Linked DNA regions of Caenorhabditis elegans. Each later gene encodes a partner of the first gene's protein in a complex. Each region holds a gene or a part of one and is shown in the gene's direction. Other genes may lie near its edges.

What was found. Proteins that work in one complex are often made in the same cells at the same time.
Region 2: unc-112 (region 1) and unc-97 share a complex: the UniProt entries of both Caenorhabditis elegans proteins name them as parts of the integrin containing attachment complex.
Region 3: unc-112 (region 1) and pat-3 share a complex: the UniProt entries of both Caenorhabditis elegans proteins name them as parts of the integrin containing attachment complex.

The regions. Positions count from the first base shown.
Region 1 is NC_003283.11:14,690,783-14,699,045, reverse strand, and holds unc-112 (Protein unc-112), read left to right. Parts: upstream 1-2,391; 5' UTR 2,392-2,416; coding exon 2,417-2,499; intron 2,500-2,917; coding exon 2,918-2,982; intron 2,983-3,976; coding exon 3,977-4,244; intron 4,245-4,483; coding exon 4,484-5,661; intron 5,662-5,731; coding exon 5,732-6,135; intron 6,136-6,729; coding exon 6,730-6,894; 3' UTR 6,895-7,184; downstream 7,185-8,263. Other genes in the region: set-5 (SET domain-containing protein), read right to left, coding at 1-76; gasr-8 (uncharacterized protein), read right to left, coding at 7,185-7,385, 7,864-8,031. UniProt on the Caenorhabditis elegans protein: Component of an integrin containing attachment complex, which is required for muscle development and maintenance. Probable regulator of cell-extracellular matrix adhesion. Required during initial muscle assembly to form dense bodies and M-lines.
Region 2 is NC_003284.9:5,590,815-5,596,032, forward strand, and holds unc-97 (LIM domain-containing protein unc-97), read left to right. Parts: upstream 1-2,318; 5' UTR 2,319-2,347; coding exon 2,348-2,490; intron 2,491-2,546; coding exon 2,547-2,659; intron 2,660-2,709; coding exon 2,710-2,830; intron 2,831-2,877; coding exon 2,878-3,030; intron 3,031-3,081; coding exon 3,082-3,325; intron 3,326-3,369; coding exon 3,370-3,494; intron 3,495-3,552; coding exon 3,553-3,700; 3' UTR 3,701-4,151; downstream 4,152-5,218. Other genes in the region: sulp-2 (STAS domain-containing protein), read right to left, coding at 5,122-5,218. UniProt on the Caenorhabditis elegans protein: Component of an integrin containing attachment complex, which is required for muscle development and maintenance. Probably function in adherens junction.
Region 3 is NC_003281.10:3,907,864-3,916,561, reverse strand, and holds pat-3 (Integrin beta pat-3), read left to right. Parts: upstream 1-2,412; 5' UTR 2,413-2,432; coding exon 2,433-2,630; intron 2,631-2,685; coding exon 2,686-2,890; intron 2,891-3,507; coding exon 3,508-3,911; intron 3,912-4,009; coding exon 4,010-4,446; intron 4,447-5,002; coding exon 5,003-5,341; intron 5,342-5,900; coding exon 5,901-6,388; intron 6,389-6,821; coding exon 6,822-7,108; intron 7,109-7,161; coding exon 7,162-7,233; 3' UTR 7,234-7,631; downstream 7,632-8,698. UniProt on the Caenorhabditis elegans protein: Integrin alpha ina-1/beta pat-3 is a receptor for laminin. Integrin alpha pat-2/beta pat-3 recognizes the sequence R-G-D in its ligands. Plays a role in cell migration, morphogenesis and probably in cell-cell interactions.

The DNA.
Region 1 (8,263 bases):
TGATGGGGAATAGTGTCGGAAGCAGCTCCTCGACGTTTTTCGAAATGATTGTTGATGATTTGTTTTTCGGGTTCATTATAATGCGATCTGAATAAATTTCAAATTAATTTTGGCAATGAAAATATGGATTAAAATAGAAATAAGCCTGCAAGCATAGAGGAAACCAGATTTTCGGTTTTTTTTTTCAGAAAAATGACAAAAATTAAGCGCAGGAATGAAAATAGATGAAAAAAAACCGTTTCTTCGAACATTTGTAGAATTTGTGTTGGTTTTTTTTAAAAGGATAATGCGAAATTTTGGAGTTATATGCACTTCACTGAAAAACGGATAGTTCTAATGGGAAGGAAAATTCTTATTCGTGAAGTTATTGGGCCCATTTTCTTCAATTTGCTCGATGATTTAAGAGGCACTGAAGAAAATGCGAGGAAATTATTTTTTTTAATTGTCTGACTCTACGGATTTTTTTTTAATATCCACTATTTTTTCGGGATTTTTTTTTTGATAATTCTCTGTTTTGAACAAGATTTTATAACACAGAAACATAGGAAAATGCCGAACTTTAGCTCTGAAAACTATTAAAAGTTATTTTTATCATGAAGTACAATTTTTCACGGAGAAACCCGACACAAATAAAAGTTTTACGTGATGTTCAACGTTTAATATAAATTTTCAAACAAATAAATCGAATATTGGCCAAAAAAACTAAAGAAAACAGAGTAAAAAGTTCAAAAATAAGATTGCAATTGTTGAAAAACAATGAAAACAATTGCTCGTAAAGTTATGGCGAAGTACGCAAAAGCCTCTGCGTACTTCGCAATCTACCGTAGTCATCAATTAATTTTTTTGTCAGTCGCGCGCGACAACATGTCGTGCCGTGCCGAGAAATACTGCATAGGATATAAAAACAAAGAAACGTTAAGTGATAGCTGAAAATATCAGTTTGATTTAAATGGCTACAAGGTTATTCCTTGACACAAAAAATATCCCGTAGGGAAAACTACAGTAATTCTTTAACATCTTTAAATTTCGATTTAAATTTCGGAAACATTGATTTATCGATTGAATATTGAAATTAAGCCGAAAATTAAAAACTAATACGAGGAAACGAAGAAAAATGAATATCGATGTCACTATTCGAAAAGAAAATCATTTCAAAAATCCGTAAATCGACTAAAGCGCTACAGTAGTCATTTTAAGTATTAATATAGTTCTCGCTACGAGATATTTTGCGCACTATGCATTCTCAGAGTTTTGTGTTCCCGTATACACAGTGCTCAAATTCTTCGTCCAAAAAATTTCTGAGCTTATTTCAAGTTTGATCCAACTCTTGTTAATGTCTTATATAACTTTAAAACGATTCAAAAAACGATTAGGTCAAAAAGTTTGATTTTTAACGCCGCCAAAAAAATTTGCATACGCTTTATAAGCAACTTTTGTACCAAGTTTATATTTCTTTTGAGCCAGACTTGGACAAGAAGTTAGCATTTTGTGTCAGCGCATATTGAAATTTCACTACCATTTCTAATATACTGTAAAGGATAGTTACTTTTGTGGAAAATCTGAACTTTTATCAATTGCACCATAAAAGACGAGGTTACCAAGTGTTCACAGTATGAACTTCACACGTGGTGTTAGAGTGTCCCATTGATCTACGTAGTTCACATTGTTCACAAATGTTCACATTATCCAGATATTCTAATTCAGAAACTAGTATACACCTTTCTCCATTTCATTGCACTTCTCCATTCATACCCAACTACCCGTGATATCCTATACTTTTACTCTCTCTCTCTCATGTCCAATGTCCCTTCAGAAGCTGCTTCCTGGCATCTTCCTCCTCCTTCTTCTGCCAAATCTTTCTGCCAGCCGGGGGACGGGACTCTTTGTGTAATGTTGTCTTCTTCTTTTCCTTCATCTACAGCAGCATCGCCTACTGTCATTCCTTCCCATTCCCGCGTAGCCGCCTGCCGAGTGTCCTTCAACTCTCCGTCTCTTCTACAACTGTTCACTCTCTCTCGCTCTCTCATTGCATTTTGGAACATACAGATAGGGAGTCAGAGAGATAGAGAGTGAGAAAAGAAGCGGAGAGACGGTGTTGCTGTGAGTCAGAGACGAAGAGTGTGTACTGCTCCGGCCGTCCGTTTGTTCGTCCGCATCGGCAGTCTTTTCTCTCATTCTCTCATTCTTCAATGTTCTCTAGCCTCTTTTTTCGTTTATTTTATTCTGTATACACGTTCCTCTCTACCTGATATTCTCCCACACATAGCTTTTTTATTGATTTGTTGATTGTTGTTAAGCGGTTTTTTTTGTTTTCTATTCTATCTACCGTGGACGGAGAAAATACACTGTTTCTATAATTTGCTAATCTTTCCAACAACTAAAATATCTCAGTGGTTCTACCTAAATCACTTCAAACATGGCACATCTTGTTGAAGGAACCTCGATTATTGATGGAAAATGGCAATTGCCAATTTTGGTCACCGATTTGAATATTCAAAGGTGAGGATTTAAAATTATATATTTAGAAAATATTAACTTTCAATAGTACTGCATGTTTAGCAGTTGTTCTTAAATAACTGCAATTGCAGGAAGTTATAGAAAAAGATTCAATGCACATTTTCTGAATTCAAGTCATTTTGTCAGAATAAGTGATAATTGAGTTATTCTCGGATTGAGGTTAAGCCTAAACCAATCCTAGGCCCAAGCCTAAGTCTAAGTCTACGACTAACTATAAGAATAAGCCTAAGTCTACGCCGAAGCCTAGCCTAAGTTTAAGCTTAAGCTTAAGTTTAAGCCTTACCCTAAACCCTAGCCTAAATTTTCAGAAGATTCCGGTTAAATTTTTTTCCAAACATGAATGAGACATTTTCAAACTCAGAGTCTTCCAATTTCCAATAAATGTATTTATTTCTTCCAGAAGCATCTCTGTCCTTGGAAATCTTAATGTGGGAGGACTCATGCTCGAACTTGTTAGCGAATGCGGTGAGTTTTTTTTTCGAATCTTATCACCTCGGTCAAGATCTCAAAGATCTCAATAGACCATGATTTCTCTCTTTTCTACTCAATATAATCTGTTAGATATATCTGCCACTGTGTGCGCCTACGCGTTTGTTACAACGAAAAGATACGTGGTGTGTGCACCATTACGAAATGATGTTCAATATCAGTAAAAATTGAAGGCATGGGAAAATGTTGAAATCTGCTGGAAAAAAATGTTCTGGAAAGATAGGGAACACTTTTGGAAACACATCGTAACGGAGCCCTTGAAGAGTGCGCCAAGTGAAAAATTTCTCGTACAATTCTTTCAAGTTTGCTGAAAATTCGTATTTTGAATAAAACAGTTTAATTAAAAAGTTAATTTTTGAGAGATCTTCACGAAATTTTTTAGGGACTGTGAGCTCCGAAATAGTTGACAAGAAGTCCTCTATACATTTTGAAACATCATAGAAACTATGCGGAACCTATCAAATATTTATGGGCTCTTCTCATCTCCTACCAGTTGCTCTTCTCTTTCTTCTTTTTCTTTTCATCCTAACCCCTGTTAATGTTGACTATTCGAGTGCACGCGTGCGCATCTACATAAGCTGATTGTTTCGGATGGGACATTCGCTGTTGGGTACATAAAGTTTAGAGGCTTTCCTTGCAGAGATATAAGAGCACACAATGATAGGGGGTCCCAGGAGAGAGTATCAAAACTTGAGAAGCAACTGGCATTCATCATGACCAAGAGCAGAAAGGGCGCATAGGAGAGGCGCATAAAAACGTTTTGGAATTAAGTTTTCGCGCGATTTTTAGAACTTGCAGAAGCTGAAGGGATGAAGATTTTCTGCATTAGGGTATAACAATTTGTGTGCTCAATGTGTTTAATTTCCAAGTTCAAAATGTAATCATTTGGGCTTCAGCTGAACAAACAATTTACAAAACAGCTGTATTGAAACAAGAATCTAAAAAACTCCAAATATTTCTATTTTTCCAGATGTTGAACGAGATTGGTCTGATCATGCTCTGTGGTGGCCGGAGAAGCGGCGATGGCTTCAACATACTCGATCGACTCTTGACCAGAATGGAATTACAGCTGAAACACAATTGGAGTTCACACCAATGCATAAAGAAGCAAGAATTCAGTTACCAGATATGCAAATGATTGATGCGAGAGTTGATTTCTCGGTAAATTCATTCAAAGCAACAAAGAAATTGTGCCGTGATTTGGGTATTCGATATTCAGAGGAATTGTCTTTGAAGAGGTAAGTAGGAATTGGGAAGTTTTTGATGTTTTATTTTTAATTTAAATAAGAATGGAGTTGTGAAATTCCTTAGTTGGTTGAACGAGGATTGAAGATCCTTGGGAATCTTAAGCAACTAGGGAAAATCTATGCCTGATCGAAATCCTGCCCCAAAAGTTTGAGCAAGGTCAAAAGTTAACTACTACCGAGCATGTGAAATAACCCAATAATTCAAAATCATATAATTTAAAATATTACAGATATATTCCACCAGAGGATCTTCGACGTGGAACATCTGACGCCGACAACATGAACGGTCCACTCTCAATGCGTCCAGGAGAAGAATCAGTTGGACCAATGACTCTCCGTAAAGCTGCTCCAATCTTTGCTTCTCAATCGAATCTTGATATGCGCCGTCGTGGTCAATCACCCGCGCTCTCCCAATCTGGACACATTTTCAATGCTCACGAAATGGGAACTCTTCCTCGCCACGGAACATTGCCACGTGGTGTCAGTCCATCGCCAGGAGCATATAACGATACGATGAGAAGAACACCAATTATGCCAAGCATCAGTTTTAGTGAAGGACTTGAAAATGAGCAATTTGATGATGCTCTTATTCATTCACCAAGACTTGCTCCAAGCCGTGATACTCCAGTATTTAGACCTCAGAACTATGTGGAAAAAGCTGCGATTAATAGAGGATGGCTTGATTCTAGCAGATCACTTATGGAACAAGGAATTTTTGAAGGAGATATTATTTTACTACGATTCAAATTTATGAATTTCTTTGATTTGAATCCAAAATATGATCCAGTGAGAATTAATCAACTTTACGAGCAAGCAAAATGGAGCATTTTACTTGATGAATTCGATCACACAGAGGAAGAAGCCACACTATTTGCTGCTCTTCAACTTCAAGCAACCCTGCAAAGAGATTCTCCTGAACCTGAAGAAAATAATAAAGATGATGTGGATATTCTTTTGGACGAGCTTGAGCAAAACCTTGACGCAGCTGCTCTTAACAGACGATCAGATCTTACACAAGTTCCCGAGTTAGCAGATTATTTGAAATATATGAAACCAAAGAAATTGGCAGCATTCAAAGGATTTAAACGGGCATTCTTCTCGTTCCGTGACTTATATTTATCATATCATCAAAGCTCCTCAGATGTCAACTCAGCTCCACTTGGACACTTCTCATTGAAGGGATGTGAAGTTAGTCAGGATGTTTCAGTTGGACAGCAGAAGTATCATATCAAATTGTTACTTCCAACTGCTGAAGGAATGATTGACTTCATTTTGAAATGCGATTCCGAGCATCAATATGCCAGGTGGATGGCTGCGTGTCGGTTAGCATCCAGAGGGAAGTCAATGGCTGATTCGTCATATCAACAGGAGGTGGAGAGCATCAAAAACTTGCTCAAGATGCAAAGTGGTAAGTTGTTGATTTTACAATTTAATAAGTGATAATGAAATTATTTTCTTCGAATGAAACAATTTTTCAGGTAATGGAAACGAAAACGGAAACAGCAACACAGCTTCGCGAAAAGCCGCCGCTGTAAAACTACCAAATGATTTCAATGTTGATGAGTACATATCGTCGAAATACGTACGACGAGCACGCAGCAAGCAACAAATTCAACAGCGAGTATCAGATGCTCATGGAAATGTTCGACAACTCACGGCAACCGAAGCGAAACTTCAATATATCCGAGCATGGCAAGCACTTCCCGAACACGGAATTCATTATTTCATTGTAAGATTCCGAAATGCTAGAAAGGCGGAATTGGTGGCTGTTGCTGTGAATAGACTTGCAAAATTGAATATGGATAATGGAGAAAGTCTGAAGACATGGAGGTTTGCAAATATGAAGAAGTGGCATGTCAACTGGGAAATTCGACATCTCAAGGTTAGTTTTTGATGAATAAAATATTTAAGATCTGGACATGATCGGAAATCGAAAAATTGCAAAATGTTGAGAACGTTTTCGAGACCTATTCATCTAAGTTTCTTGTAACAACTTTCTGATTGTTAATCTATTTTGTGATGTCTTGAAATTACGTTTTCATCTCAAAATCTTTCCTAATATGTATATCTAAACACAAAGAACAATTGGCTTTCAAAAAATCTTTGTATTGTTTCAAAAATTATAATATTGCGTTTTTGATTCAATTGTTGTTTTCTATCCATAAGTCTATTCGCCGTAACTTACTAAAAAATTCAGGTCTTTGGTAATTTAAAATCTAAATCAGATAATGTTCTCAAAGACCGAAACTTTTTCGGTAAACTTGGTGCTGACAGGAAGGTAGGCAGACTTCATGCCTATTTGCCTACATGCCAGCGTTGCACCTTGAGCGTTTTAGAAATAAATTTTTAAAATCTGTTTTGTGCCTACATAAAAGGCTTAGATAAACCCGAAAATAACCGAGAACAAACTTTTTGAAATTAATTACTTTTTTTCTTTGAGTATACTATTTTATCATCCTATCTCCCCAATTTCCAGATTCAATTCGAAGATGAGGATATCGAATTCAAGCCACTTTCCGCTGATTGCAAAGTCGTTCACGAGTTCATCGGTGGATACATTTTCCTGTCAATGCGAAGCAAAGAACATTCTCAAAATCTTGATGAAGAACTTTTCCACAAACTTACAGGAGGATGGGCTTAGATATTTAAATTTCTATAATCTTTTGCAAACCAAAGAATTTTAATTTTAGGCTCCAATTCCATCTTTTTCGTTTCAAAATTTCAATATATATATTTGTTTTCTTTCATTTTTCTTGTTTCTCATTTCCCCCCTTCCCCTCTTCCAAATAATTTTTCGTTTTAATAAGACAAGTATACCGGATCGAAAAAAAGTTTTATGTGCCTTTTCATATCTATGGATTAATAATAATTGTATGAGAAAAATTGAAAAATATTATAAAAATTGAATAATAAAAACTGATGAATAAACATTTAAAATCTTCTTCCGCGTTCCTCGAGCTTTTCGAATTTTTGTTGATTGCTGATTTCTAGTCTTCCAACGTTTCGTTCAACTTCAATCAGCAACTGATCTCGCTCTTTTTCCAGTTTTTCAAATTCTCCCATCACAATATCATTGAGTTCCTTGTATTTTTCAACTTCTTTCCTCATATTCTCAACGTTTCGCATATCTCGCTGGAATAATAATCAGGAAATTATAGTCATTTTCCATCTTTTCTGGTAGTAGGCAAACGTAGGTACAAGGCAGGCAGGCACTGTTCTGCTATCTAGCTACCTACCTAACTACCTAGGAATCCTTAATCTGTTCTATTCAACCATATAAAATCAATAGTACAAAACATATCGGCAATATAAATTTGATAGAAAAAAAGCAAATAAGTTTGTATCCCGTTATTTAAAAATTTGTTTTCAAACGGATTGAAATCATGTGAAAACATGTTCAAGAAGTATCAAGAAATTTGAAACAAAATTTTCAAGCAACAGCAAAAAATATCTGAATGTAGTCTTCGCCCATAAATTTGTTTTTTCACGATTTAGAATCGAATTGTTTCTTATTTTTCAAACTAGTTTTGTACGTTTTTTTTAAAGTTAAACAATTTGTCAGAGCAAATCAAGCAACTTTCACGAATGATACGTACATCCCTTTTCTTACCTGAAAATTCCTCTTGTAATCCTGAAGCCTCGCGATTTCTTTGCTCATCTCATCAATGTTTGCTTGATTTTGGCCGAGTAGGACGGCTTGATCCTTGAGTTTCTCGCGACTATCAATGAGATCCGCTGATATTGAATCACGTAGATCACGGAGATTTGAAACTTCGCTCTGGAATGGTGAAGATGGTTTTTATGAAGAATTAATACTTTAATAAAAATTAGTTGAAAAAATTGATCTTATGATTCAAATATCGTTATAAACAGGGGGTTTTTATTTTGCTTTAAAAATATCCAAAATAGACTCAAATTCAGAAATACGACAGAATAAATACGATGAAAATAGAGGAAAATTTCAAATATTAATTTTTAGTGTGATTTGACAATTTTGGTTTTTAATTCCC
Region 2 (5,218 bases), on another chromosome or scaffold:
TATATCAAAAAAAAAAGTCGAATGGAACTGCTGAAAGTGCTCCTTTTAGTGCGCATGATATTTTTCACACATATTTTTTTTGAAACGGTTTTGATCCGTGTCCAGTATCCATATTTGATTTTTTTAAAAGAAATTTTAAAAAGTTTGTGTAGACAATTCAATGTTTAGTTTTCCCTTTCAAGCTAGTTTTCACTAACAGGAAGATGCTATAAAACTATGAAACGAAAAACTTCAAGAAAAGGAAATTGAAAAATTGTGATCTACACAAATATTTTTCTAACATTTTCAAATGTGGATGATGAACACCAGACATTCGTGGCAACTGTAGACCAACTATTTTATAAAATGAGCCAGTTTGGCATGTGCTCACAAACTTTTTTATGGAAATTCAGAATATGGAAAACTACTTACTTTCTCTGAAAATAAGATTTTTTTAGTTGGGAAAATAGGACATTTTTGAAAGATTTTTCATTTGATGTTTTAACTTTCGGATTAATTGTGAGCACTTTTTAAATTGTTCCAACTGAAATTAAAAATATTTTTAGACAAGCTAAAGATTTTTCGATATCACTGAGTTTCAATTAAAAAATTTTGAGAACATGCCACACTGGTTCATTTTGTAGAAACTCACTTTGAAACTTATAGATTTGTGTAATAAAATACTCAGTTTAGAATTTATACACTGCTCCGAAAAAAGTCGGTCCAAAAACCTCTGTTATCGGTTTACGATCTTCTAGAAAAAGCGGTGGTATTTCTCAACACTGCGCACAGCTGTTTGGCAGGTGGAGGCATTTCTACTGGCAGAGGACCTCATTCTATAATGTCATCATTTCAAAGTTAGTCATTGTTTTCAAGCTACAATTTCTGGATTTTTGTCATCCTGATATATGATACTAGCTCATGATCAAGGCCAGTCGTAAGAATATAAAAACACAAACGAAGGTCAGATACTGAACATTTATCTGCCAACATTTGCGGGGTTCGTACTTTTCAACCATGTCTTTTGATTTCTCATATCTAAACTGATGATCCTTTCTTATTCTCACAACTGTCTATAAACATGTGTTAGAAAAAGCTTGTTCCTGCCTGTTCCGAGTATCAACGAGCAGCAATACTTGGCTATTAATGTGACCCTACGCACGCAACCCGATTGTATGCGTCTCTTCGAATCGCGCACTCTTCCCGGAGTCGTTACGTCTGCGGCCGTAGTCTGTGACCCCCCGCTTGGCTGTCGGCCAACCCGCCGCGCGCGCATTGCCTCTCGCTTTCTTCCACTCTTTTTAGTTGTACATTCTGCGCACTTTCTTTTTGCCCAGTAAATGCCCATATCACTGTGTGAGGAAAGTTGATTTTCAACAACTATTATCATTTTTAAGGTGTTGTTTATAACTATTACTATGTTTAAATATAATTCAAAACTTTATAGTTTAGCCGTATAGAAGTTGTATTGAATTTTTGGTTTCATTTTTACAACTAGTTTTATTTTTAAATGCAAACACCACAAAAGAAGCATTGTTGCTTTCCTCCGTTGCATCTCAAAACATCTGGTGTAATACATGTATCACATTTTGAAGCGTGAAATGTGCCGCTTCACTGAATTTTGTTATGTAGAGTAGTACATAGAAAGTCAAAAAAAAATCGAAATAACTAGTTCGAATTTTTTCCCATTTAAACACACGATATCCCAACCGATGTTTCTGAAGAATCTTTTTTCTGTTCCCAATCAATACTGATCATCAACACATCGGATACACGTCTCCCTCTGTGAGTTAGTCAGGGAAGCTGAGGCATCCTGTTGAATCTGTTGTGCAGCAGCACTCACACACATACTTTTGTTGTTCACTTATATCTCTATCTCTTGGTTCGTTTTCATTCTTTACACAAAATGCAATGGCAAAAGCTTCCACGCCACCGCCTCCGAGTTCTTCTTACACATATGTCAACCCGTCGCATCCTATACCTTTGGCACATTTGCCTCTTCCTTGAGGATTTCTTCTTTTCTACTGTTTCACAGCCCCCTCGTATAATACCTCCAGTGTTTTTACGATTCTTAGAATATGGAAATTTCTGTGTTTATGCAAAAATTTACTTTGCATATAACAAAATGTAGATATGAAATTCTGACTTTTTGTGCTCTTTTCGATTAACCAACATACCTAACCTATACACACTATATGCTTTCTCCGGCTTTCCCTTGTTTGTACATATTTGTCTTCATATTACTCGCTCGCTTTCTTTTCTTCTTTCCTACCCCCACCTTTTTCCTTACAAACCCATGGTCGTTAAACCATCCTGTGTGCATAGTGGCCAACTTTCAGTGGTTCAATAATAGATGGTGTGTGGCGGAATGGATTCCGACCACAACCATATCAACGGGGATCTCGCCCATGGCTTCGAGAACATGGTGTGCGTCCGTTGTAATGATGGTTTTTCGATGCAAGATCAGATGGTGAACTCTTCCGGGCAAGTATGGCATTCGGAGTGTTTTGTGTAAGTTTTTATAAGTTAGAATTAAGAGAACTCAAAAATTGCAAAAAAATTTTTAGATGTGCTCAATGCTTTGAGCCATTCCCAGACGGCATCTACTTTGAGTATGAAGGACGAAAGTACTGCGAGCATGACTTCCATGTTCTGTTCTCACCATGTTGTGGAAAATGCAGTAAGTATCTTTGAGAAGACACGCAGAGCCATAAATGTTTTATATTCTAGACGAGTTCATCGTTGGACGAGTGATTAAAGCAATGAATGCCAGCTGGCATCCGGGATGTTTCTGTTGTGAGATTTGCAATAAACAGTTGGCCGATGTCGGATTTTTACGGAACGCTGGACGGTAAGTTGGAGAGCGTAAACGAAGCTCGAAAGAATTTCAATTTTCAGAGCTCTCTGTCGCGAATGTAACGAACGGGAAAAGGCAGCAGGTCATGGACGATATGTGTGCCACAAATGCCACGCAATGATTGATGATGGACAACACATCAAATTCCGTGGAGATTCATTCCATCCTTATCACTTTAAGTGCAAACGTTGCAAGTAAGAATTTATCTTGTTTTACAGTATGAGTTGAATTTAAAAAATTTTCAGCAATGAATTAACGACAGCTTCTCGTGAAGTAAACGGAGAGCTCTACTGTCTCAGATGCCACGATACCATGGGTATCCCAATTTGTGGAGCATGTCACAGGCCGATTGAAGAGCGTGTCATCGCGGCACTCGGCAAGCACTGGCACGTGGAGCACTTTGTCTGTTCCGTCTGTGAGAAGCCATTCTTGGGACATCGTCACTACGAGAGAAAGGGACTTCCATATTGCGAACAGCACTTCCACAAGGTACTTGAAATATGAACAAGCAAACATTAATAAGTTTGTTGCAGTTATTCGGAAATCTTTGTTTCAAATGCGGAGATCCATGTTGCGGGGAAGTATTCCAAGCTCTTCAGAAAACGTGGTGTGTCAAATGTTTCTCCTGCAGTTTTTGTGATAAGAAACTTGATCAGAAGTGAGTGCAAAACTATTCATATGAACTTGATGAAAACAAATTAATGTATGCATTGCAGAACGAAATTCTATGAATTCGATATGAAACCAACATGCAAACGATGTTACGATCGGTTCCCCACAGAATTGAAAAAGCGCATCTCAGAAAGCTTAAAGGACCGCGACGTTGAAAATCAAAGAAGATCGATGAGTCCTGGACCAAAATAATAAAAAAGAAAGAAATAAAGGAGTCCCCGTAATTCATCAATTTCCATTAAAGAAGTAATACTTTCCAAATGCCATTGCTCATTTCTCTTTCCCATTGTTTTTAATACCTTGGTGCTAAAAAAAAACATCGTGAAAATTGTTATCAATCCGTTTTGTCTTTTAAATGCCTTATATTTCAAAACTATTTTTCGGTCACACAAAAATGTCATTGTACTCATTTCTAGCTCCATAATTGTCCTTCCCCTTCCCTTTCCCAGCTACTTTTTGATTCAGAAGCCTTCTGAAAACAATCATAACTTTCGACCAAATTTTTTGTGTTCCTATCCGCAAAAACTTTGCATCTTTTCTCGGGTGTCATTATTGCATAACTTGATTTCTGAATTTTTGTACTATTTTTTTGTTCAGAAAAAAAATATTGACTGTATTGAAACAAAATCGTATTGTAATATTGAATCCTTTTTTTCGGCATCAACAATCAATTTGTAATCAGTGATCAACAGGAAGGTGAGTCCATAGCGCCCGGAGAGATATTTTTGGTTCAACTTGAAACGTGTTAAGTGAGAATTATACTTTCCAGTGTCAAAATGTTTGTGAAATTTCTAAAAATACGAATGAGCCAGTAGAAATGATCGTATTGCACTTGAAATTCTCTTGGGAATTTATTTGTTGAAGCTTCAAAATGTGAAAGAAAAATTGGGCTATTCCAACAAAAAACGACTTTCATCGTTTTTTTGCTCAGCAAACTCTGTTTGATCATTTTACATAAAGATGAAATAGAGTCGATGATTTTTTTTTAAATTCAAAATGACAAAAAAAATTCAGTTTCCAAGAAGTTAATTTCGTTAAAAAATAAATTTTCAATTATCGATTATTTGAAGAATTTCCAACAAAATTCTTCTTTTTTATCAATTTTTTTTTTGGTTTTTTTTTGTGGAAAAGTCTAAAATTTTGTAAGATTCTGTTATTACTCAAAAATCACAAAAAAGGACAAAAAACTGACACAACTGTAAAAAACAAACATATCAAAATTAGGTAATTTAGTTACGCGGGTATGGGAAAATAATTCAATACTTTCTATTTTTTTTTGTTGCAAAATTTAACAATTAATTAAAAAATTCAGAAAAATTCAATGATTTTTTAAACTGTTGTGCTTATTATAGTGCAACTTTTTTCCAGTCATTGAGACCAAAGAATCCATAGATGTTATTCCATCTTTTTCCAAATTTTATTTATTGACAAATATCTAATTAGTTTAAAAATCTAAAATCAAACCTCAATTTACGGTAACTTTATTGAAAACTTGAAGCATGAGCAAGTTTAACAAAAATTTCAAATATTGACCCAATAATTACACATATTATGACCCATATGATTAACAAGTTGATCAATTGATAAAACTGATAAATAATGATCTATGTATTCTAAGGCACAATCTTTTCTGGCGGCATACTTTTCTCGCAATCAAAAAACATTTTATGATTTTTAATTAATTCGTGAGCAGAATCCAGCGCATCTTGA
Region 3 (8,698 bases), on another chromosome or scaffold:
ATTCTGCATTGATAGAATGTTTCTTGAAAGAAAAGCTTCTTTAGCTCGTATTTCTCTTGAGGTTTAGCTAAATTAGCTTCTGGTGTTTCTTTATTCGAAAATAACTTCTATTTCTGTTAAAACAATTGGAAAAACGCTTAAAAAAACGTCGACAAACTATAAAATTTGAGCGTTTTTCTATTTTTCTAAATTTTATCATTTTATTTTAATGAAAAATATTATGAGAACATGCTGCACTGTCTTTATTTTGTAGTTCAGCTCTTTTCTCATTCAAGAATTCCCCAAAAAACTACATTTCATCCTCTTTTTGATGGTGTCGGGCCATCAAAAGTTGCTCTGCCTGAGTGATGATATATCCCCAGAGAGAATATTCCTCTTTTTCGGCATCTTTCATAATTTTGAATGCTGAATATCTCCACATGCCTACGAAAAACGGTATTTTTTCGGGAGAAAACTTTGTTTTAATTTGTTCTTCCGCCGCCCATCATCACCCACAATAATCATCGATCTCCATATATCCTGACTGCTGCTGTCCACACTCCGTTTAACTGCTTCTTTTCTCTGTAGATTCCCCTCCTGCTAACAAAAGTACCAACAGTCGACCCCTCTTCTCATTGTGTCTGTCTCTCCACAGATTCAATGCTCTTTTATTCCGGGCTAGTGCTATGATTAAACACACAAGGGCAATACGAACACAGAGAGACATAGAGACAGAGGATACTAGTATATGTATGCACCAGATGTCTTACTACTTGTCATCCCTTGGTTCCCTTCTTCGTTTTGTTCCTCCCAATTTCAATTTCAATTCAGTTTGGATTTTGAATTAGTTCCTATCAGATTGTTATCGATTTGATGGATTGGAGACGGGAGACGGTGGGCGTGGGAAATTTAGAACAAGAATGACTCAGACGCTATTATTTTCTACTCTTTTCGTTATTTAAGTGTTGAAATCGTCGTTTTTCACAATGTCTAAATTGTTATATCGTTGTATGATAACTTTTGACAGCCATTTTAAAATTAATTATACTTTGACATTTTAATAATTACTAGGTGCATTCATAAGCTGTAAGAGCAAGAATTATAGTTATCTTCAAAGTTTCACCTAAACTAGTTTACCAGGAACAGTTTTGATGTTCAGCAATGAGTTTAAACATTTTTGGAATAGCGGGAAGCTTAAAAATACCCAAAATAGTCAGAAATTTCATTAAACCACAAAAAAAAGAAGGAAAATGTCGATCTAGAATGTGAAATCCTTTTTTTTAGTTTCAGCTAATATCCCTGTTTGAATGTCTTCCAAAATGAGAATCCACTCCCACTTTTGAACCAAACTAACGATATTGAAACTATCGAAAAATCCCTTTCCTCACCACATCAAACCCCCTCCTGTGAATTTCGCAATTTCATCGGTCTCTGATGTCTCTAGAAGCTCCCGATTCTAACGCCTTTTCACCCATTTCCCTTTGGTTTTCTTCCCTTCGTCTTCTTTGTTTCTTCGACGATACAAGCAGGTGTAACTCTCGTTACACTTTGGTCCGAGCCCCTCTCCCGGCCAACATAGAGCACTCTATCGCCTACACTATCTCTTCGAAGAGCATTCTGCTGCTGGGTTGATGGCAGTTGTGAAGAGAGAGAAGGCGAGAGATGCTCCTGTCGAAGCACTTGGCAGATCCGCCCACGTTCCGAAAAGAGGTGATCGGTGGACGTAGTTGATACTTTTATCGATTTTTAAGGTTTGAAAAGTTATGTGCATAACTTCCAAAAATGTTAAACGGATGAAGTTTTATCCCGAAATCTCAAATTTCATACATTACACATGTGTGCCTGCAGATACCGAATTAAGTTATTGTTTCCCGAAAATACTGTACCCGGTCTCGACACGACCGATTTTTCTCAAATCCGAGTTGTCTGAACTCCAATATTCCTCGCTGCAAGTTTTTTTATATTTTCCCCCGAAAACTATGTAATTTTCTAACAAAAAGAACATGACTCCGTTATACTTCCCGCATTCACTCCGTTTGTTGAGTAAACAATAAATTTTCCTACTATGGTGACTAATATTTCAAGAAGTCATTTTCTTTCAAAATTTCCTATATATTTTTTATTGTATAACTTTTATATTATAACTTTTTCTTCACTGAAGAAATTATGAATTGGGGATGTGCCATTTTTAGTATGATATTCTTGATTTTTATATCAAAATATTTTTTTCAAAAAATCTAACTTTTTTGGAGAGCTTTAAAAATTTCAAAAGTTGTATGAAAGTTGCCACCTGTTGAAAGCAGTTTGATATCAGGTTTCTGTAGAGTTTCATCATCAATTTTTCTTATAAATACACCATTTTTTAATCTCACCGTTTTTTTTTCTAATTACTCCGTTCTCAATGTACTAAAAGCCAATTAATTAATTTTTCAGTTGAACCTACCCGGCATCAAATGCCACCTTCAACATCATTGCTGCTCCTCGCAGCACTTCTTCCATTCGCTTTACCAGCAAGCGATTGGAAGACTGGAGAAGTCACTGGAAAAGTCGTCGAAAAATCAGAATTCCCATGCTACAGTCTGTCACGTGACAATTACACATGCTCAGCGTGCATTCAATATCATGAATCTTGCGCGTGGTGTGGAGCACCGGTATGTTAAATGCTTGAGACCATGAATTTATTTTATTTAATAAAAAAAATTCCAGATGTTCGACGAGAAGAAGCCATATGCCCGTTGTGATAGCCGTGCCAAGCTCATGGAACATGGATGTCCAAACAGTTATATCGAGGATCCGGCCACAAAATTGGATATCACTGAAGACAGTAAACTCTCCGATCAAGGACAAGTTGAATCTGAGGAAGAAGCCGTTCAGATCAAACCACAGGAGATGTACGTCGAAATTCGGCCCAGTAAGTTTTTTATATGGTTTTCAAAGATAATTCGTTTAAAAACTCGATGAAAATAATCAATAAAATACAAAAAATTTTTTGGGGTTTCAGCAAAAAAAACGAAGATTTCAGGGTAATTTCGTAGTCTTAAATTTTCAGGAAAAATTTGCACTAATTAAAGAAATGTTTTTCATTGATTTTTCACAACAAAAACCGCTGAAAATCACATTTGAAAATTGTCTCAAAAACACTGAAAAAAAAATCGTACTGCATTTTTTTTGCGGAAAGTTAAAATATTTCCGGTTTTGGTTATTTTCAGCCTCTTTTTTATTTAATTTTTATCTTAAAAAGCTCCTGTAATATACAATTAAGTGAAGTAATTTATTATTATTATCATAATTCGTTGATTTACACATTTTAGGCTCGTTTGACTATTTTTGGATTTTAAGAGATTTTTGGGCTTAAAATATGCCTAAATCAACGAATTAATGATAAACTTCTAAAATTTGCAATTCAGGGTGATTATAAAATAAAAATTAATTAGTGACCGCTGCGACTCGAAAACTTGTAAAATCACAAGATTTTTCTCTAAATCCAGTTCTTCAATATCAACAACAATCTAAATGTTTTTTTTTCAGAATCCCGTGTTCGTTTCAATGTGACCTACCGTCAAGCCGTTGATTATCCAGTTGACTTGTACTATTTGATGGATCTCTCATATTCCATGAAGGATGACAAACAGAAACTGTCCGAACTCGGAGACTTGCTCGCCGAACGAATGAGAACTGTCACAAAGAATTTCCGATTAGGATTCGGTTCATTCATTGACAAGAAACTTATGCCATTCATCGATCCACGAATCGAAAAACAATTATCTCCGTGTCCAACACCATGTGCAGAACCATATGGATTCAAGCATCAAATGTCATTGACGACGAACACGGCAAAGTTCAAGGCTGAAGTTGATAAAGCTGAAATTTCTGGAAATTTGGATGCTCCGGAAGGAGGTTTCGATGCTGTTGTTCAGGCGTTGGCTTGTAATGTAAGTGGTTATTTGATTTAAAAGAAAAATTCAAAAAGAATCAAATCAACATTTTTGAGATATCGGGAAAGCTTAAAATCTAAAAATCAATATTTCAGAAAACCATTGGGTGGCGTGAACGTGCTCGTAAAATGATCGTTTTCTCAACTGACGCTGGATTCCATTTCGCTGGAGACGGAAGATTGGCAGGTGTCGTCGAACCAAATGATGGAACATGTCATTTAGATAGAGAAGGATATTATACTGAAACACTTAATCAAGATTATCCATCAATTGCACTTCTTCATCAAATGATCAAGGATCGTAAGGCAAATGTCATTTTTGCTGTTACAAAGAACAATCAGGATTTGTATACACAATTGTCGAATGCACTCCCAGATGTTTCATCGTCGGTTGGAGTTTTGGCTAATGATTCAAGAAATATTGTCGATTTGATTGAGAAGGAATATTTGAAAATTAGTGAAAAGATCATTATGGTTGATAATGCAAATGCTTCAGAAGGACTCAAGCTCACTTACAGATCTATGTGTTTGGAGTGAGTTTTTTGAATAATATTCAATTTAAATGAAAGTTGGGAACTTTTGAAAATTAAAAAAAAAACAAAAAAACGCTGTAGAAACAGATTGAGAAAGACCTCGATCATGTAGATTTACGCAGGCTTCGTGTACTCCACGAGAAGAAGCGTTTTTGGCTGAAATTCTGATTTTGGATTATTTTGTTACTTTTTTTGTATTTAACATTCAAAATTGGTAATATAATTTTTATTTATGGTATTTCAGGTGAAAATCTGTTAATTCGGTGTTGAAACCTTCAGATTCATCCGCTTTTACATAAAACAATATAAATAATTGTAAAATATCTACAATATTGCCCTCGCCGTGCAATTTTCAATATTCATTTTTCTCGAAATTAAAAAAAAAGTAATTTGAATCGAAAAATTGAGCTCTCTTAAATTCTCACGTTTCTAGACGAAAAAGTCTTCACATAAAATTGTTTTAAACTAAAAAAAAGCACAATTTTGGAGCGAAACTATTAAAATTATTACAATTTTATTCTAAAATTTGACCCTATAAATAACCGTAATTTTTCAGCGGAACCACACTGAAAGATACCAATGTTTGTGAGGGAATTCGTGTTGGAGATGAAGTTCAATTCGAAGTAACCCTTGAAAATACTCATTGTATCGATAAACGTGATTTTGTTCTCCGTATCGGACCATCTGGATTGGATGAGACACTTATCGTTAATGTTAAAGTTTTATGCGATTGTGATTGTGAACGTCAAGACAGAATTGTGACGAATTCGGCTGATTGTAACGGAGGAGATATGGTTTGTGGAGTTTGTCGATGCAAAGGAGGAAATGTTGGAAAATATTGTGAATGTAATAGACCTGGAATGAGTACTGCTGCGCTCAATGAAAAATGCAAAAGGTATGGTTTTTTTTAAAATTTAACATGAAAATTATGTGAGAAATAATTTTAAAAAATATATTGGCCGAGCAGTATTAAAAAAATTTTAATCGAAAAAAAAGCTATAAAACTTCTATGGCTGGAATACTAATCGAAAATTGATTGGAATAAAAATTAAGATCACAAAATTTTGAAATTCCTTGAAAATTTCCAAATAAATTGATTTTCTGTAGTTTTTTCTTTTTAAAAATTTCAACTGAATTTTCTCGGTTTTTTGGATAAAATTTGACGCCTTCGATGGAATCACAAGAAAAAACGAGAAAATCCATTTAAATTTGCCGGAAAAACTCCGAAAAAAAGGTCGTTGCCTAATCAGAAGTTTAAACTTTTGCTCGAAAATTTAGAAAATAATTTTTGCTTTCTTACATTTTTTAAAAAAATTCAGAGAAAATCAAAAAAATTGGAAAAAAAGTTAGAAAATTAACAAAAATTAAATTGTTTATCAAAAATGCTAAAAAATTTAAGCTATTTTTGTTTTCCGTTTTTTCTTTTTTAAAAATTCTAATGATCTAATTTCCAGAACTAACGAATCAGCAATCTGTGAGGGTCGTGGTGTGTGTAACTGTGGACGTTGTGAATGTAATCCACGTGCCAATCCAGAAGAACAAATCTCTGGAGAATTCTGTGAATGCGACAACTTCAATTGCCCACGACACGATCGTAAAATCTGTGCAGAACACGGTGAATGCAACTGTGGAAAGTGTATTTGTGCACCTGGATGGACTGGAAGAGCCTGTGAATGCCCAATTTCAACTGATTCATGCCTCTCTGCAAATGGAAAAATCTGTAATGGAAAGGGTGAATGTATTTGTGGAAGATGTCGATGCTTCGATTCGCCCGACGGAAATCGATATTCGGGAGCGAAATGCGAAATTTGTCCGACGTGTCCGACGAAATGTGTGGAATACAAGAATTGTGTAATGTGCCAGCAATGGCAGACAGGGCCACTTAATGAGACCGCCTGTGATCAGTGTGAATTCAAAGTTATTCCTGTTGAGGAATTACCCAGTAAGTTAAAAAAATATACTGATAAAGCAGAAAATCAATTTTTTAAATGTCAGAAACTTTTGAAAATTTTATTTCTGAAAAAAAAACACGTTTGATCGGAAAATTTAAAGAAAAAAAGATATTAAAATATTTTTTCGAAATATTGGAAAACTAAAACTTTTGATTTATCGAAAAATAGCTTGGAATTTTGCCCATTTTTCTTCTTTTTTTAAATGGAAATTTGATTTGATTTGTTAAAATATTACACTTTTTGTTAATTTTCTAAACGTTTAATCTTGATTTTCAGGAAAATAGAAACATTTTTTCTGAAAATAATGGATTTTGCCTTAAAATGTGTATAATACTTAAAACGTAAATATTGCAATTTTGCTAATTCTCTAAACCTTTTTTCTCGATTAAAAAACTTGAAATTTTGAAATTTTAAAATTTCCAGATCTCAACGAAACTACACCCTGCCAATTTGTGGATCCAGCTGATGATTGTACATTCTATTATCTCTACTATTACGATGAGGCCACAGATAATGCAACAGTCTGGGTCAGAAAACATAAAGATTGTCCTCCACCTGTCCCTGTGCTCGCAATTGTGCTCGGAGTCATTGCGGGTATCGTAATCCTCGGAATTCTTCTCTTGTTGCTCTGGAAATTGCTCACAGTACTTCATGATAGATCCGAATACGCTACTTTCAATAACGAAAGGCTTATGGCCAAATGGGATACGGTAAGTGACACGGAACAAAAAACATATAAATTTATCAAATTATCATTTTTCAGAACGAGAACCCAATCTACAAACAGGCCACGACAACATTTAAAAATCCAGTATACGCTGGAAAAGCCAACTAAATAGTTTTTATCCTTATATTTTAATAATTTTCCCAAATTTTCTAATATGAAAGCTCAATTTCTCCATCCAAACAACTCGAAACGAGTATTTAGCGATAAATTGTCACATTCTTCTTTGTTTTATTCAAAAAATCTCCATTTTTTTGTTTTTTTTTCCTTCATCAATTGTTCATCACACTGCTTTTACCCCATTCTAAATACGGATTTTTTTCTTCCTTCTCTATATATTGACTTGCTTTATATTCATCTTTCATTGCCTTTTGTCCCTCTTAACACCGACCAACAACTCACACACTTCTTGTACTATTTCCAATTTTCAATGGTGCTTTTATTTTTGAACTATCTTGTTCGAATTTTTCATGTAATATTAATTTTATATGAAAAAAATCTGAAAAATTAATTTTTTGTCTTTTTAATTTTTGGTTGAAACTGATATTAGCCATAACTATCTGAGAAGACATGTTAAATAATATTTTTAAATTATAAAAAGGAAAAAAAATTGCGCGTAAAGTGAGGAGCTTGGTGTTTGCATCCAAGTGCACAGAAAGCATTCAACTTGACGACAATTTTTTATTTCTTTTAATTTCTTTAAATTTTTTCGTTTAAAATTGGAATTCTTTTTATCCTATTTACCGTGTGGATTTTCAATTTTTCAGTTTAGAAGATTCCCAAAAGTTCGAAAAGTTTCAAGTATTTGACCCGAAGTGGTTTGACAACTGTTATTAAGCCTGATTAATTTATTTTTTGCATATCAACCGATTTAAAATTTAGTATTTACCACTTAAAAACGCTAGAGACTACAATAATCAAATATCTGACCCTCCTTCAAAGAATAAACAAGTTTTTTTTGACGTGAATTGTAGGATTGAAAAAAGAAAGATAGAGAAGTGACTAGACTTTTCTTAAATACGCACAAAAATGAGAGAGCGCAGAGATAAATGCTACTTTCAGTTTTGCACGCAGACACAGAGTCAGTTGTTGTTCCCCGAGTGTCCTCTGCGGCTTTTTATGCTAAATCAATGTTTCTTTTCGATAATTTTCAGTTTTACTTAAATAATTCGAAAGTTCTCTAATATTATTGTTTAAAATTTCAATTAAAAAACCGCCCATCTTCATTTTTGCGCTTGTTTACGATCTGTCAAGAGATTGACGGCGACTACAAGGTCTTTATTGTTTTATTTTTTGCTTTCTAAATTAGAATTTAAAAAAATAATAAGTTTTTCGAAGTAGTTTCTAGATTAGGGCGTATAATTGTTGAAAAAAAAAACACAATTCATAATCTATTTAATTTCAGTTTCACTGGATTTTTAAAAGCTGAAAGTCAAAACTGAAGGATTTTTCAAATTAACAAATCATTTTTTTTTCATTCTTCTAGCTCAATACGTGCCAAACGATTAGATCTTTTCAAATTTCACATTTTCTTTCTCTGGCCTATCTGTTCCACAGCGATTTCGTTGTTTTTGAC